Caenorhabditis elegans: one gene and its partner. The protein of the gene in region 2 interacts with the protein of the main gene of each other region in a pairwise test. Each region holds a gene or a part of one and is shown on either strand. Other genes may lie near its edges. The genes, in order: gcn-1 and abcf-3.

Region 1 (4,892 bases), 4.0 Mb from region 2:
GCGTCGCCAGGAGGAAGCTGAACGTCGAGCTCGCGTGGCGAGCACAAAATCATCGGCTTCATCTGAACAGGACCAATTAATGATGGAATTGGCGGAAAAAGTCGGCGGAATGGGAATTGGCAAGCGGCCGCGTGGAAAAATCGATAGTACACGAATGGATCACGGAGATTTCGAGAAGCTGATGAATGGTACGGGTTTTTACCCGGGAAAAAACGGATTTTTTTCGTTTTTCTCAATTTTTGGATCATTTTTCGCCGATTTTTAATGCCAAAATCGGATTCCCCGACACTTTTTACCCATATCTGATGTTTTTTTCGTCGAATTTCGAGCATTTCTGCATTTTGTCGTAGGCTCTGCGGTGTTTGCGTACTTTTGGAACTACCGTACCCCTCGAAATTCAAATTTTGAGCTAAGAACCCGGAAAACAAGTTTTAAGGCGTAAAAATAAGTGGGAAATTCGAATTTGATAATAAAAATTTGAAATTTCGACTGGAACGGTCTGAAATTTTAGTGTTTTGGACGAAAATTCATTTTTCAAAACAAATCACTGATTTTTGGGGTTTTTAATAAAAAATTCGAATTCCCCGCCACTTTTTACCCATATTTGACGTTTTTTTCGTCGAATTTCGAGCATTTCTGCATTTTGTCGTAGGCTCTGCGGTGTTTGCGTACTTTTGGAGCTACCGTACCCCGCGAAATTTAAATTTTGAGCTAAGAGCCCGGAAAACATGTTTTAAAGGGTAAAATTAGGCGGGAAATTCGAATTTGATGATAAAAATTTGAAATTTCGACTAGAAAAGTCTGAAAATTAAAAAAAAATTTCGAAAAAAAAAATTTTTTTTTTTCAAAAAAAAAATTTTTAATTTTAAATTTTTTTTAAAAATTCTTTTTAACATATTTCCAAAATTTCCAAATTTCCAGGTCTCAAACACACGGGCGGCACCACTCCGAATCGCCGAAAAATGTCAAAATCGCCGTCTCCAGCGCCACGTGGCTCCGCACCACCGCCAGTTGCTCCAAAAACTCGAGTCGTCAGTGTTGAAAGGGATCGACAATAAATTTGATCGATTTTCCCATTTATTTTCTCGTGTAAAATATGAAAATTTCTAGTTTTCCCCGTTTTTTCCCATTTTTTCTAACAAAAAATTCAAATTTCCCCCCTTTCCACGTGTGTTACGGGCATTTTTCACACTTTTTCTCTGCATTTTTGCCGTTTTTCCCCTTTTTTTTCCCCCGTGATTATTTGAATTTTTGAATTTTTTCGCTTTTTTGTGCGGAAAATTATTTTTTTTCTACTTTTTTCCTTGGTTTCCCCCCTTAAACCGGTTACAATACGCGATATTATTGTTTTTCTTTTTTTAAAAATGATTTTTTAATGAATAAATTTGATTTGTTTGAAAAATGTTTGAAAAAATTGCAAAAGAAAGTGTTCTGCGTAAAAATAAATTAAAAATAAAGAAAATTCAAAAAAATGGAGAAAATTCGAATTCAAACACCCGCGCAAATGAGGTACGTGATTTTGCGTGCGCGTGTCTGCGGACCGGGCATTTAATCTTACGGCACTTGGTGTTTTCCAACGCTGAAAATGATTTAATTATTTGTTTTAAGCCTAAATTTCTTAATTTTCAGCCGTTTTTCTCGATTTTTTCGATTTATAACCTAAAATTCATGAATTTTCGATCTTTTCAAGCCATAAAATGCTAAAATCCATCACAAAATCGAGTTGAAATCGACTTTTTTAGGCGGAAATTTCAGATTTTCGATTTTCAAGCAATTTCACCCGATTTTCAGATCATTCAACGACGGGTTACACTTTATTGATAGTGGAAAATGTCTGACGATGAAATAAAAAGCGAACATGTTCAGGAGAAGACGGAAAATCTGAGCGAGGTTCGGTTTTGAGGCCTAAAATTCGATTTTCGGCTTGGAAAGGCTTGCAAAAGCTTGAAAAAGCTTAGAAACTTGCATCCAGATGTGAATTTCATTGAAAAATCCAGAAAAATTTCCAAAAAATCGCGAAAAAACGCGAAAAAACAGTGAAAATACCAGAAATGTCCCAAAAACTCTATTTTTTAATTCCAGGAGGACGCATTAAAGGAAGAAATCCGCCGTTTTTCGTCGGCAGTTTCGAATCCAAGCCTTCGGGCTCATGGAATGGCCTACGCCGCTCTGACGAAGCTCATCGAGCGCCGCTCAACGGAAATTCCGGCTCAATTTGTGAAGGGGCTCGTCAAAATGAGCATTGCCAACTCGATTCGGCTCTATGGACAGCCAAAATCCTTTCAGGTAGCGGAAGAAAGCTGGAAAGTGTCGAAAAAACGAAGAAAATTAGCCTAAAATTGGACTTTTTCGTGACAATTGTGCAAAATTTCGCAATTTTTCACCTGAAAATTGCTATTTCTGCAGAAAAATTCTCAAAACTTGCAGATTTTCCTCTATCTTCGTCGAAAAACTCCACATTTTTCACGATTTTCACCTGAAATACTGATAAAATCTCGATTTTTCACAAAATTCCCGGATTTCCATTCAAAAAGTTGGATTTTTCTGGTTATTTACCAGAAAAATCCGAGAAATTGTCAAGTTTTTATCATTTTTAGTTCAAAACCCTGGAAATTTTTACGAAAATTCAAGATTTTTCTCTTTTTTCAACGGAAAAATCAGATAATATAAGATTTTTTTCCCGAAAAAACCCGGATTTTTCACACAATTTCACCTGAAAATCGACGAAAATCCTTTAAAAAATTCTGAATATCCATTCAAAAAGTTGGAATTTTTCGATTTTTTTCCGGAAAAAGTCCGGAAAATTGCAAATTTTTAAGACACAATGCGGAATTTTTTCGAAAAACGGTCTGAAATTCGCATTTTTTCACAATTTTCCCGAAAAATTGGGCTTTTCTTTCAAATTTCAGTAAAAAATTCCGGTTTTTTCGCCCGAAAATCCCCATAAATCCCTGAAATTTCTGGATTTCGATCCAAAAAACCGGAGTTTTCGCTTTTTTTGCCGAAAAATCCGTCAAAATTGTTCAATTCTCCATGAAAATTTCGAATTTTTGGATAAAAATCGGAATTTTTACGAAAAACGCTGGGAAATCTCACAAATTCCACTGGAAAATTGACGAAAATCCTCAAAATTCCCGTGTTTCTATTCAAAAAAGTCCGAATTTTTCGCTTTTTTTGCCGAAAAAGTCCGGTAAATTGCCAATTTTTACGAAAAACAGTCAAAAATTCGCAATTTTTCCGCAAAAATTAAGCTTTTCCATGAAATTTCAGACGAAAATTCCAGATTTTTCGCATTTTTCCACGAAAAATCGACCAAAATCCTCGAAATTTCCGGATTTTCATTCAAAAAGTTGGAATTTTTCAAACTTTTTACAGAAAAAGTCTTGAAAATTGCCAATTTTTACGAAAAACAGTCAAAAATTCGAGATTTTCCTCATTTTTCAACTAAAAAACCCGGATTTCTCACAAATCCCACCGGAAAGTCGGCGAAAATCCTCGAAATTTCTGGATTTCCATTCAAAAAAGTGGAAATTTTTCGCTTTTTTTGCCGAAAAACCCGTCAAAATTTCAAATTGTTTGAATGAAATCGGAATTTTTTTACGAAAAACAGTAAAAATTCGCATTTTTTCACATTTTTCCTCTGAAATTTGAGCTTTTCTATGAAATTTTAACCGAAAATTCCCGATTTTTCGCTTTTTTTTTACCTGAAAATCCCCATAAATTACTGAAATTTCCGATTTTTCACGAAAAATTTGCTGAAAATCGACGAAAATCGTCGAAATTTCTGGATTTCCAATTTAAAAAAGTCGGAATTTTCCAAATTTTTTGAATGTAAATCGGAATTTTCAATAAAAACAGTGAAAATTCGCATTTTTAAACATTTTTTTTCCGGAAAATTACCTGGATTTTTTTCACGAAAACCCGTCGAAAATTCACATTTTCTCTGCGAAAATTGAGCTTTTCCATGAAATTTCAGCCAAAAATTCCAGATTTTTCGGTTTTTTCAACCGAAAATCCTCATAAATCACTGAAATTTCCAATTTTTCAACAAAAATTTCCTTCCAGGCCGTCTCAAAATTGCTCCAAGTGCTCGCCAAACGTGATCCCATCTCCACACTCAAATCACTGCTCCAAACAATCACCACGGCTCTTCCAATCATCCCAAATCTCACGGAATCCCATAGTCTCTCACAAGTTCCAACGATGAAATGGCTTTTGGCCTGTTTGGATGGAAATTCCTGCGCTGAAAATGCTGTGGAAATCTTTGGAGCTCTCGGAGCAATCGCCTATTGGATGTCTGCTAGTGATAAAGCTTGGCGTGTTTTCACAAAGAAGCTGGCTCAGCTTTTCGCGAAAAATCCCGAGATTTCCAATGTTTTCACCGCAAAAATCGGGGAATTTTCAAAGGAAAATCCCGAGAAATCGTTGGCTCTGATCTCGGCTTTTGGTGCTCTTGGAGCCGCGAAAACTCCTGAAATTGCTCCAATTTTCGTCGAAATTTTCACAAAATCCCAGCTTCTCCCAAAGCTCCGACCACCGCAATTTTTCGTCACGAGAATCTCGAAATTCGCGGTTTTTCTCCAAAAATCGCCGGATTTTGAGACGAATTTGCTGCCAAATATGAAAAAAGCACTGCTCCGGAGCCCTGAAGTCGCGATTTTCGGAATCCGTGGGCTCTTGGAGCACATCAGCTTCTCGCTCGACTTTTGTGCTCAGGATTTGCTCAAATCTACGATTTCCTCGCTTTGTAACACGGATCCGGAGATTCGTGAAGCTGGAATCGGGATTGTGGTGGCTTTAAGCCGAAAATCGGAGATTTCAGTGATTCAGAAGATTCTCAACACGCTTCTCGATCAATTTTCGGCTGCAAAAGCCTCGGAAATTAAGTGCTC
Region 2 (5,512 bases):
GTTTTCTGATAGTTTCTACGAATGTATAATTGAATCCAGGTAACAGTGAATATCCAATCCGTCTTACTGAACCACTTCTCATTGCAACATCCATCAATGATCCATCCTCAACTTATACTACTCCTGGACTTAAACAAACTATCAAGGTCTGGTCATGGAATATGGCTACTTGTGGATGGTCTTCAGTACCAACTTTTGGACTTTTGTAAGATTTTTGCTTCTTACAGTAACCTACAGTAACCTTTTCCAGGAACAACATCGATGCTTGTACCAACGGAGTACCATGCCCAATTGAACCGAAAAACAAGGTCATCAATTTGGAACTCGACTTCTCTGATACTCCAGCTATCATCAATCTTCTCAAGGTTATTTTGATGTGTATTCTTCGAAAGTTAAACCCCCAATTTCAGAACGATAAGCCTTACCAACTCGAGTATCTTCTTCATGATGACCCGAGCAAGGAAGACCTTTGCATTATTTTCCAGGCTAGAGCTCTCACTCATACTTAAATTTTGAAGTGAACAATTTAATAAAGCAATAAACTTTTTTCTCAACAAAAATTATAAATTGAATTCTTAAATAGTGTAACAAAACGTGGAAACTGGGTGAAATATGGGAAACAACCGAATGCGAAACAAAACAGGAAAAATTTAGGCAGTGAGTTGAAGCTGCTTGTAGACTTGCTTTCTGTATTCTTCGAGTCCTCCCTCCAAAGTTGTCACCATTCGATCCTTCACAACCCAAAGTTCCTTGCACACAAGCTCGATGAGTTGCTCGTCGTGAGAAACTAAAACGACACCTCCATTGAAAACATTAAGCGCTTTTCCAAGAGCTTCAACCGTTTCGACATCCAAGTGATTAGTAGGCTCGTCAAGAATCAAGTAGTTTGGCCTGAAAAATACTATGAATTAGACGGAGTTTGAATAAATTTTTTTTTCTAGGAAAAAATGAATATTTTTTGAAAATGTTGCTATTTTCAAGCAAAACTCACTGCATCAAGGCTAAATTAGCAAATGCCAATCGAGACTTTTGACCTCCAGAAAGTGTCTCAACAGATTGCAAAGCCATATCACCAGCTAATCCAAATCTTCCCAAAGCTGCTCGATAATCTTCTTGAGTCTTTCCAGGATGATTCTTCATCAACACCTCAATAGCTGATGTTTCCATATCCAATTGATCAACGTGATGCTGTGTGAAGTAGGCAATTCGAATACGACGATTCACATTTCGAAGTCCAACGGATGGTTGGAGATCATCGAGCAAAAGTTTCAACAGTGTAGTTTTACCGGCTCCGTTTTCTCCGACAATACAAATCCGGGAGTTGGCATGAGTTCCGAGATTGAGCTTTCGGAAAAGATAGGGAGAATCTTCGTTATAACGGAAGGATACTTCATCGAGTTGGAGAACTGGATTACTGAGAACTTCGCATTCTGGGAATTTGAAGTGAATGTCTGATTCGAGTTCGACAGGAAGAAGAACAGGCCTGAAAATCATAATAAAATTTTTAGTGACAATATTTTATAAAAACTCACAATTTTTCCAACATCTTGATTCTGGATTGAACCATTGGAGCTCTTTTAGCGTTGTATCTGAATTTGTCAATAAACTCTTGAGTATGCTGTCTCAATTGCTGTTGTGATTCGTATTCTCTCTGCTGTTGCGTCAACTTTTCCTTCATCGTCTTCTCAAATTGATCGTAATTACCCTTGTAGTGATCCAATCGTCTGGTGTGCAAATGAACAATGTCCGTGCAAATTTCGTTGAGGAATTTACGGTCGTGAGAAACCGTCAAAATAGTTCCTTCCCAACCTTGCAAATGTCCTTCCAACCAGTAAACCGCTCTCATGTCCAACATGTTAGTCGGTTCGTCAAGCAACAAGAGATCTGGCTTCACGAATAGAGCTCTGGCAAGGGCAACTCTCATACGCCATCCTCCAGAGAACTCCTTTGTTGGACGCTTCTGCTCGTCTGGAGTGAAACCGAGACCATAAAGAAGGGAAGAAGCCCGTGCTGGAGCTTTGTCAAGTTGGAGAGCTTCCATTTCGATGTAAAGTTTTGAAAGCTCGTCATTCCATTTGGTTTTCTCGGCGTCATTGATATTGTCCTTGTTTATACGACTCTGAAATTTTAATTTTGAAAAATGAATTAATTTTTGTTCAAATTAAAAATATATATTTCAAGAATGGAATGAATTCAAATCAGACTTTTTTGTCATATTATTCTCATTGAATATTAATATCATTTTCTGAATATCTCACTTGCAGCGTCTTTTCCCTATCAAGAAGTGTTTGTCTCTTCGTATCTGACATCAAAACAGCATCCAAAACGAGTGTATCATCTCCTTCCACTTCCTGTTCCACAGACAGCATTGAAATACCTGCGGGGATCTTCAACTGTTGGCTTGAAATCATTTTAAGCAGCGTCGTTTTTCCGATTCCGTTTCTTCCAACCAATCCATATCGTCTTCCAAATGCCATTGTGACATCGGCACATGAGAGAAGTTGTTTCGTACCGATAGAAATATCCACACTTTCCAGTTTGATATCCTTTGAGTTGGCTCCACGGGCACCCGAGTCACGAATTGGAGCTTGGGAAGCCGTTGCTGATGGCTCATTCTTCTTCTTCTTCCGTTCAACAGGTGCATCTGCACGAGCTTCTGCTTTCGCTGCAGCACGATCTTCGGCCTTAGCAAGTTTCTTCTTATCAACGGTAGTTGGAGTATCTCTTGTTTGTACTTTCCAGATGCTTTGAAGAGCTTCAAAGTTTTGATTTTCAGCAGCCATGTCAACAGTTTGCTCGAGACGTTTCGTAGTTGCTTCCTGTTGTTTGATAGCCTTTGGAAGGTTGTCTCCGTGAAGTAGTTTCAGAAGTTGTTGACAAGCATTCTTAGCTCCAACCTCGCAAAGATTTTCCACGGAAGCTTGAAGATGTTCACCAACGGCATCCATAACTTCATCTAAAGATGTGATCTCATCGGAATTCTCTTTGAGAATTGCAGAGACATAGTCTTTGATCTCAATTGGAAGTGTGGGAAAAGTGGCCGTGAGATAGCCAGGAATTGCTTCAACATTTGCCATTATTTAATTGTTCAAGAAGAACTCGTAACCTGGAAAAAATTCATAACACACTCGTAAATAAGTTGCGTTTCTCGTATCATACCCAGCCAATTGAAAAAGTGAAAGACGATGAAAACCGGAATGAGACTTGGAATCAGAAGAAGATAATACGTTTGATCGGAGATGAAAGAAGCTGTTAGCTCGTCCACCAAGTGAGATTCCTCTAGCATACACTACGAGTCCTAAAAAAGTAAGGTTTTATTTATTGGGTGGTGGAAACTGTATCATTATCCAAATGACTAAAATATTAATTTAATAAATACATGTAAACTGCTATAAACTCGACCAAAAGCAATTTATTCATCCGAAAATACTGTAAATGTGAGAGAAAACTGAATAAAACGAGATATGCGTCAACAAAATCGCCATACACGCCAGTAATCGTCCTGGCGCGTTTGCAGTCTCTAACTTTTTTTTGTTGCGAAACTGAATTTTTAGCTGGATTTCTCTTCAACTTACACGTTTTGTTCATTTTTTGTTAGTTATATTTAGAAGCTCCAAAAGCCTAAACTATTCCAATTAGCAAATTCATTATTGTCAAGACAGCCTTCTGCCAAATAACTGCAATGAATCTCTGATACGCGCGTGACGTGTTGCGTCGCGTTTTCTTCTCATTTTCAGTAAATTCCAGCTAGTTTGCCACTTCCTATCATTTGTTCTTTGTGCACAGTAACTTTACATGTCATATTCGTTATTTGAACTTCACTATATTAGAAAACTGTGCTATTGTCGTTTCATTTTAGGCCGTTCAAAATAATTTTACTCTCTAAATGTTCCACGTTTCAGTTCCGACTCGCTTTTCACAACAACACAAAATGAGTGACGATTTGAGCGCTTTCTTTGCTAAAAAGAAAGACAAGAAAAAGAAGTCCGCCGTTAAAATCGAAGAAGTCGGTCAAGCACTCGAACGAAGAGCCAAGCGTCAAGAGGAGTATGAGCAAGAGTCGGAGGATGTTTCTGAAAAGCGGGTAGAAGAGGAGAAGGCCGTGAATCCTAACGAAGAAAGTGAATGGATTGAATACGGAGAAAGTCAAGGAAGGTTAGTAGATTATTCGCTCCGATTTCATTTAAATATCTCATTTATTGCAGACTAGATGGTCTGAAAATCAAAGATATGGGTCTTGAAAGTGAACAAGATCAAGTAAATAACGAAGAACCAGAAGATCGCGAGGTTCATGAGACAAAGACTTGGGGACAAGTTAGCAGTGAAAAGAAAGCGACGGAGGAGCCGGAACAAGCTGTGACGATCAGTGACAAAGCAATGGCTGCCGCTTACAAGCCACCTGCAATGAGAAGACCAGGAGCTCCGTACAGACCAAGAGCTGCTGCTGCAAATCTGGATATGGGTAGTGACGCTGCCTTCCCATCATTAGCGGATGCAAGCAAAATTGAGAAGAATAAGAAAGAGGAGAGCAAATCACCAGGAGGTTGGGTAAAAGCTGGATCCGGTGGAGCTTGGCCAGGAAGTTCGGGCCCATCTTCAAGTGGGTCTTCAAGATCGTATCCGACAACTGCTGGAAGTGGACGTGATAGTGCTCTTGCAGCTCTCAAGGTATGTGTCAAGGAAAAATAATTACTCTAAGTTTTCAAGGTTTTAAAACTATCAAAAATCATTTTTATTATTCTTGAAAATGTCTAAATTCAACGTTTCAGATGATGAGCGCCGCCAATCCAGCTCCAGCGCGTAACGAGCCAGCACCAGCCCCTGCAGCTGCTGCTCCAGCATCTTCGGGAGCTGCCAAGGCTGGATCGTACGTTCCTCCACATTTGAGGAAAAATCAATAATAGGCCCAACTATTTTCTTATTCTTCTGTTTTCTGTGTTCCCATTTCCTTATTCATTGTTTTTCTTTATTCTATAATATCCTTTTTTTGGTTAGTATTCTCATAATTTAGTACATTATTAATTTCGTCCCTATCAACTTGTTATGTCCCAAATTTCTCTTATCATTTCGTGCTTAAACGCACTTCACTCTTTATTGTTGCTCTACCAATTCTTGAACGACCCACAATACCCCGTGAAATTTATAGGGTAGTTGACAGCGGACGGTGTGGTTTGAGAATTCACGTGAATCGAATTTTGGTATCTTTTTTCGAAATCTTATGCATTTCGAAGGTCGTCTCCTATTTTCGGTGTCACGCCAAAAATCTCAAATCCGCCTGTTTCGCGTGTCGTCGGTTACGGTTTCAACGAAAGAAAGTTTCAAAATGTTTTCCCCATGAGCACTTTGCTCTTTTTCTACTTGTGCTATTTATACAAGTGCTCTATCATATTCTCTTTGCCCAATTCCCTTTCGGATTCAATCATGGTGTCTTTTTCTTTCGTTTCCCTTTTTTCTTTTTCATATAAACGTTTATACATTCCCAATGTGCTCGTCTTTGTTATCTTGCATGTGT

Evidence for each region.
Region 1: the proteins of abcf-3 (region 2) and gcn-1 interact in a two-hybrid assay, tested with the Caenorhabditis elegans proteins (one study listed by BioGRID).

What each region holds. Positions count from the first base shown.
Region 1 is NC_003281.10:2,150,154-2,155,045, forward strand, and holds the start of gcn-1 (TOG domain-containing protein), read left to right. Parts: upstream 1-1,791; 5' UTR 1,792-1,830; coding exon 1,831-1,890; intron 1,891-2,082; coding exon 2,083-2,286; intron 2,287-4,065; coding exon 4,066-4,892. Other genes in the region: frl-1 (GBD/FH3 domain-containing protein), read left to right, coding at 2-188, 922-1,058.
Region 2 is NC_003281.10:6,171,191-6,176,702, reverse strand, and holds abcf-3 (ABC transporter domain-containing protein), read right to left. Parts: upstream 3,301-5,512; 5' UTR 3,160-3,300; intron 3,107-3,159; 5' UTR 3,078-3,106; coding exon 2,259-3,077; intron 2,120-2,258; coding exon 1,533-2,119; intron 1,484-1,532; coding exon 992-1,483; intron 892-991; coding exon 651-891; 3' UTR 532-650; downstream 1-531. Other genes in the region: F42A10.6 (MD-2-related lipid-recognition domain-containing protein), read left to right, coding at 40-205, 251-365, 411-509; F42A10.5 (Protein CDV3 homolog), read left to right, coding at 3,932-4,155, 4,206-4,668, 4,770-4,901.